2 linked regions of the Caenorhabditis elegans genome follow. The protein of the gene in region 1 purifies or fractionates together with the protein of each later gene. This does not show direct contact. Each region holds a gene or a part of one and is shown on either strand. Other genes may lie near its edges.

Region 1 (3,701 bases):
TTTCAGTTGACAATAGTCACAAGATTTTTTGACCAACCCAAGTGCCCAAACTCGGAGCCAATTTTTTCAGTCATTTTTCTGATATCGCTTCTTGTCAGCTTTTTAAGCATAAAAATCATTTTAGTTTGAAACAATTTTATTTTCTATTATCATTTTAGTGTTTCGAATTGATATGTTTTGTATGTGTAAAAATAGTTTACACTTGGTTACATCATTTTGTATGAAAAATCTAGAATTTTCGACAAAAAATTTTTTAAAAGATTTTCTGACGACCATCCAAAAAAAAATTTTTTGGACGGATTTTTTTCAAACTTTTGTTGTTTTCTAATAATGTATTTTAAACAAACCGAAATCCGCACACAACCCTCAATTCAAAGCTGAAAAGAAGCGAGATCAGAAAAATGCCTGAAAAAATTGGCTCCGAGTTAGGACACTTGGGGTGGTCAAAAAATTTTGTGACTATTGTCAAATGAAAGAACATTGTTGATAACATGAATTCCCAAAGTTTCATAAAAATCGATACGCAGCGAACAAAGTTATGATTTTTGACCCGAAACTTATTTGGTGACCTAATATGTCTAACAGCAATCATCCCTAAAAAACGTGAAGCTAAATGCTGATGTTGAAACAGTCAAATTTTTTTTTCAAAATTGTATTTTTTTTCAAATTTCTAGACCGATCTTGAGCGTGCCACGGAGCTTCTCGAAAAACGAATGGAAGGAAATGTTGCTCCACAACAGAGAGCTGAAAAGCTAAGAGAAAGAGCTGCCAAGCTGCTCTATCAGGCTCAGAGACACAACGATGATATTGACAGTGAGTTTGAAAATTTAAAACTAAAACTTTAAAACTTTAAAAACTACAAGTTTACAAAAACCAAATAATTTTCAGATTTATCAAAGGACTCAACCGAAATGCGATTGGACGACTACGAGACGATTCTGGCTGATTTGAATTCCCGACTGGAACGAGTGACACGTGACATTCATGAGAAGACCGACTTCCATGCCACGTGTGGATAAATTATGCTTTAATTTTAGGAGTTTTTTTATTCTATTGAAGCTCTAAAACTGCCAGACTTTCATCTTTAATCAAATAATACTGTATGAAAGTCAACAATTGCTCGTAAAGTGTGGTATATTATTAACTCGGTGAAACTCGGATAGACAATATTTACATCATATTTTACGAGCAATTTTTCTAATTTTGAAATTTCGCCTTCTTCCATCCCGCTTTTTGAAAACGGTTGTTGTCTCTTTATTATTATTTTTCAATTTCAAGTTTTCGCTTCCAATATATTTCTTTCAATTACGAAAATTGATTTTTGTTTGTTTTCTTCCTTATCACCCAATACTCTACACCATTTGTTTAATCTTTTTCAGTTCAAATCCCTCCCTTTTTTCCTAATAATTTATATTTGCTTTTTTCCCCAATCACCATCACCACACCTTGCTTAACTATTTATGCATCTCAGACACAGTTTAATTGTTTTTGCGTTTTTATCTTTCTATTTTAAAAATTCTGGATTATAAATCTATCAATTTCAATTTATGTTTTTTTTATTTTGTCATAAAAACTCAAGAAAAAGTTCAAAACGGTTAAGATCCGATAATTAATCTAAAATCTCTGTTTGAATGTCCGCCAAAAACGGAAAACGCGCAAAGAGCGAGAGCTGACGCATTTCGCGACTCGTACACCTGCGTTGGCGCACTTTCCGTGCCTCTTTACACTTTCACTTTTCCGTCCGAAATTACGATGTTTTCACTTGTTTTCTGCCAACTTTTTTGCAAAACTTCATGCCAATAACATGTTTACCAGGCTGTAGTGTTGAAATTGCGGCATTTTGATACATTTTACGTTCAAAAACGTTATATTGAAACGCCCGAACATTTTTTTGAATCATCGAATCAACAAACTTAATTTCAGATGAAGCATTCGCATCTTTATGAGCTTCAACCAGATCCGTACGATTTTACACAACGGAAGACATGCAGAGTTTGTCTATTCAAGGATGTTAAAAATGCGGTAAAATTTACAACTCTTTTTTTGAAAAAAAATATAATGAAATTTGATATTTGCAGGCAGAACTCTCGCAACAGTTGAAGGAAGGAAAAATCGATGCAGCTTTAATTCGTGCGGAACTTGTAAGTGTTTAGATAGAAAAAATTGCAACAAAAAATATTGGAAAAATTTAGGTGCTCGAACCGTTCGTACTCCTCGCCGCCGCCAACCGGGCCGTTCATCAATCGGCTCATAATCGGATGAGTTGTCGGAGTCTAGCTGCGGAGCTTGTCTATTCGCTTTCTCCGAGTAGAAATGTAAGATAATTTCAAAGTATTTCGAAAAAAAGTGATGATTTAAAAGATTTTAATTCTGCTAGTATTTCTTCAAACTCACTGGATTTTAAATTCGTTTTAATTTCAGATTACCGATTCTCTAGTGACCTTCGGAATTGCCGAGCACTCGACTGCAATTATCGCCGCAATTTTCGACGATGATTCCGGAAAAGCAATGAAAAAGTTGGCGAAAGCAATCAAGGGAACACCTGTGCCATTAATGGAAGGCCTACCGAAATTCGCAAATGTTAACATGATCAAGAAGGTTTATCAAGTAGGAAATCCAGCATTTGTCGAAGAAGGACTCTCCGATCACATCGTTTCGAGAATGGTTTCCAAGGATTTCGTTTCTTAACATTTTCTCGAAATTCTCTCCATTTTCCTTTTTCCATTTTTACCCTAACACTTTCGAATCGCAATCTAGTTTTTCTTTCTTTTTCTGACTAATGCCTCATTTCTACGCTAATTCGCTTATCCCTATCATCATCATCATCACTACGAACCGATGCCCACCTGAACACTGAATTCTCTGGAACTCTGTGCCCCCTGTTCTAATCTTCCCATCAATCTGCCACGAACATCTCAAATACTGCCTTCCATCCGAGACCCACTATGGATCAAAACATATACCAAAAAATCTGTATAGTTTCTTTTCTCTGTTTTTTCTTCTTTCATTAAGTTTCTGTTGTAATAAAATGCACATCTGTTAAAAATTATTTTATTTGTTTGAAATTCGATTGAATTGCTTCAGGAGTATACCTTGAAAACTACTAAAATAATTTGAAAATTGTAGAATTCAGGAAACAACGGATAAAATCAATCGGGTCAATCGGAGAGAGTTGTAAGTTTTTTCAAAATTTTTTTGCTGGAAAAAATCCAGAAAACAACGTGTGGGTGAAGTCGGAACCGGGATTTCGCAAATTTGTTCACATTTTCCTCTTTTTCTGAGAATAATTTATCAATTTTCATTTATTCATTCTAGTTTACTGACCACATATATTATTTAAAATTACGGAAACATGGTGAAAAATATTTGAATTGCTGTTCCGACTTTGCCCACACAATTAAAGAGAAACATTTTTCGATGTGAATTAAATAAATTTGAAGCAACAAATTAAAAAATGTCATGATTTTTATTTCCAAATACAGTAAATGCGTAAATTTTGTTCGATAATCGCGCCGAGCCCGTATATACAGATGAGGTTAGTCGTGTGACGTCATCATATTCATCAATTAGGGCCTGAAAACAAGCGAGAGAATGATGAGAATTCCGGCTGTTGGATAGATCAGACCGTTGCTCGAGTTGCACATATTGTCACTGCAGCAGCAATTCTTCTCGTCTCCTGGGCCAATGCAACCGTCTTCCTG
Region 2 (3,756 bases), on another chromosome or scaffold:
TCTTTTTTGATTTGATAAGAAGCCATGAAAATGTTGTATTTCAAAAGATAAAAACTCGCGGAAGAATATCACTGTCTACAATATTCAAAAATCGGGAAGGATCGGAAAAAAAAGATCAGACGGTTCAAATTTTTATATGCAGATCAGAGTTTTCTCAAATCAACATTCATCGGTTTAACCCAATTCTTCACACTTTTTTTCAAATTACATCAATTCTAAAAAACGAATTTAACCAAGAAAAAACAGGTCTTAAAACTGAATTAAAAATTTCAATCAGATGTTTCAAAAGACGGTGTTCTTTAGACGGAAACTTTATTCATGTGAAGGTGGTCTGAGAGAACAGGAGAAAAGATAAGATCATCCAGTTTTCAGTTAGTGGTTTGACATTTTTTGATTTGATAAGAGATAATTTGATTAATTGGTAACTGGGTATTCCGTGAGAAAAGTAACGAAAAAAATCTTCAAATTTTTTGGAACATTGAGGAAATTTATAGATTAAAAAGATGATTCCGTTTTCTGTAATATGCCAACGTTTCGGTTTTAAAAAATTGTAGATTTTTTTAAACGCAAGCTTTTCAAAATTGGGGCACCCAATTATACACTCTACTAAAAAAATCATAATTTAAAAATTTAAATTCGTTAAAATTGGAAAATTCTATAAAAACACTACAAAAAATCGCCCCCAATCGACCAAAAGTAAACACTAATATTGACAAATAATAGGCTAAGCCAATAATAGTACGAATTGCATTTTTGGAATTTTTGGAGCAATTGATGCCTATAAATGACACGAGGTCAAATTAGCCTTTTAATTTTTGAAAGCTTTACTTTACAAACAACAAAATATTTTTATTTTTAAATGAAAAAAATAAAGTTTTCGTAGATCATAAGCATATATTTTGTTTTCTTAAATAACGATTCACTAAAAAATCTACCCACCATCATCTAATATTCTTGCACTGACTCAGTCGTTTGTTGAAATTTTGCGAAAATTTTTAGGCGAGGATATACTGTCGAAATGTCAAAAAGTTACAATTGAATTATTGTTTGAATTCCCGTCTAGGGCAAATTAGGAGTCTAATTATTAAATGTGTATTGAATAAGTTCTCAAGAAAATCCTAGGTTTCAAATTTTATTCTAATCTGGCACCACGTACCCTATCATTTCGGCTACTATATTACCATTTCTCAAGAAATTTGGATTCTCTCACAGCTGAATTGAACTCCGCTTTAGTCCTAAAACACAAAAAACACTTCATGAATAGTACAATTTCTTTGCTCCGATACAGTACAAAATGATAGTGTACATAAAGGGTCAAAAGAGGGTGAACAGGCCACTTCTTCCTTCAAAAGTGTGTGTTTATTGTGCGTGCTTTTCGTCGAAATGTGCTCCGTGAGCACATAAACGGACAATATGCTCTCACACATTCATTTTTGTCCGCTCTCGGGCTTCCGGCGCCACTTCATTTGGGTTCTGAAGAACTTGACCAGTCACTGATATTTTTTGATTTTCACACGCATCTCTTTTCGCCGACGTCTTCTCGTTCTCTCTTGTACATGTACAAGAGGCAGGACGGAAGTGATTCTCTCCGCCCAGAAACTTTTGGGGTTTTCTATAAAATTAACCGGTGATTGTATTTTTATTCAGGTGGTAATTAAATTTTTAGTTTCTATGTTTTTGTACCTATTGTGACCTTTTTTAATATAATTTTTGAATTAGAACAACTGATAAAAGTTTGATTTCTTTATGTTTTCCTTTTGATACAAAATAATCTATCAATTTATCACATTGATCATTTATTTTTAGAATTTTTAGAATCTATCTATTTTTCCACCACTTGTTAATTTGATTCCTCTTCTTTTTTTCGTACTTTTCTTTATGATTCCTTTCAAGGTAGCCTACAGATTTTCAAAAATCTTGTTTATTTTTCAGCTCCAAATGCTCTTTCTTCCAATTTTAATCTTAAATCTACTCATCATCACACATGCAATTGATATAATTCCTCGAGAAGTTTTGTTCCAAGATCCAAAATATTCATCAGTTTCATTGAGTCCTGACGCGAAACAAGTTGGATACGTGGCTCCTGATGAAAATGGAATCAGAAATGTATTCACGAGATGCTCATCGTGCTCATATTCAAGACAAGTCACTTTTGAGACTGAACATCCTATTTTGAGTAAGTAGGAATTGAACAAATATATTAGAACTTTTTTGATAAAAATGATATTTCAGATTACGTTTGGACCGCTATTCCAGATGTTATTCTGTTCACTCAAGATAATCATGGAGATGAGAATACTCGCATTTACAAGAAAAATATTTCTGCGGTGAGTCAATCAAAAAACATTTTCTAGAAATAAAGTTGAATCTTCTCAAAAAGTTCAAAAACGTTGTGGAGTTGAATTGTAACATAAAGACTAAGAATTTTCAATTTCAGACAGCCATCGCTGCTGACAAAACCCAACGAGTAGTAATTAGTGAGAAGCCGATGGTGAAAGCAATGATTTTATCAAACAACTTGATTTCGGAGACAGTTCTTATTGGAATGAATGATGAAAATCCAGCACTCCATAATATTTATGCATTCAATTGTCAAACTGATGAATTGAAGTTGGTACTTCAAAATAGAAGATTTTCAATATTTTTCTTTGATAATGATTTGAATGTTCGATTGGCAAGTGAAGAAGGACCAGATGGAGAAATGATTTATTATCGACCAAGAAGCAATGAAGGTGCTAGAACAACTGAACAAAATACTTGGGTGGAGTATTTGAGAATTCAGCATGATGATAAGGCAATCACTATGTAAGTTCAAGAAATACTATATTTATAGCAATTTCTTTACAAAATGTACAATTTCAGGCCCATCACATTCGATAAATCTAACAATTTTATGTACTGGATTATGGGAGACGGCAGTGATTTGGGAAATCTCGTCGTTTTTCCATTTGAAGATCCACAACAGAAAGAGATTCTTTACACTGCACAAAGAGCGCAAATTGGAAATGTTTTGATTCATCCAACTGACAAAACTCTATTGGCTGTAACTGAAGTTTATCATAAGCCAGAGCTTTTTGTGGCAAATGAGACATTTATGGAGGATCTTCAGTATTTGGTCAACATGAAACCTTCTGGATCTATGAATATTGTTAGCATGAGTATTGGTGAGTTTTTCTTTCTTGTTCAAGATTAACATTATATTTCCAATTTTCATTTTCCAGATATGTCAACCTGGTTGGTTACCTATTCCTCATCCGATGAGCCATATGACATTTACTTGTACAGAAGATGGAATAAGAAGGCTGAACTTTTCATGAGCACACGTCCAGAACTCAAGAAGTATACGTTGAACAAGCAAATTGGATTCGATTTCAGAGCAAGAGATGAAATGACCATTCAAGCTTATTTGTCACTTCCACCACAGGTAAATTCATTTGAAAAACAATTCCATAAATTCATAAGAACGTCTTACTTACGAGGCTTTCCATCGTGAGAATGGAACTCCAATAAAACACACATTTAGAAAAATCAATATTTAAAACAACTTTCATTGCAGGCTCCACTACTGAAATCATCACAAGTTCCAGATGGTGATCGTCCTTATGCAAACCTTGGAATGATTCCAGCAGTTCCACAGAAAATGATTGTTTTAGTTCATGGAGGACCAAAAGCTCGTGATCATTATGGATTCTCACCAATGAATGCGTGGTTGACAAACCGTGGATACTCAGTCCTTCAAGTCAATTTCCGTGGATC

Evidence for each region. The genes of interacting proteins can lie anywhere in the genome.
Region 2: the proteins of W03F8.4 (region 1) and dpf-6 fractionate together in Caenorhabditis elegans (co-fractionation; one large-scale study listed by BioGRID). This does not show direct contact.

The regions. Positions count from the first base shown.
Region 1 is NC_003282.8:5,182,200-5,185,900, forward strand, and holds W03F8.4 (EKC/KEOPS complex subunit TPRKB), read left to right. Parts: upstream 1-1,923; coding exon 1,924-2,022; intron 2,023-2,078; coding exon 2,079-2,141; intron 2,142-2,192; coding exon 2,193-2,315; intron 2,316-2,421; coding exon 2,422-2,688; 3' UTR 2,689-3,045; downstream 3,046-3,701. Other genes in the region: lam-1 (Laminin subunit beta-1), read left to right, coding at 675-813, 889-1,019; W03F8.6 (Activin_recp domain-containing protein), read right to left, coding at 3,567-3,698.
Region 2 is NC_003281.10:8,036,309-8,040,064, forward strand, and holds the start of dpf-6 (Dipeptidyl peptidase family member 6), read left to right. Parts: upstream 1-1,932; 5' UTR 1,933-1,938; coding exon 1,939-2,176; intron 2,177-2,232; coding exon 2,233-2,327; intron 2,328-2,437; coding exon 2,438-2,805; intron 2,806-2,848; coding exon of another isoform or gene 2,849-2,862; coding exon 2,863-3,164; intron 3,165-3,221; coding exon 3,222-3,424; intron 3,425-3,556; coding exon 3,557-3,756. UniProt on the Caenorhabditis elegans protein: Removes N-terminal dipeptides sequentially from polypeptides. Essential for control of distal tip cell migration.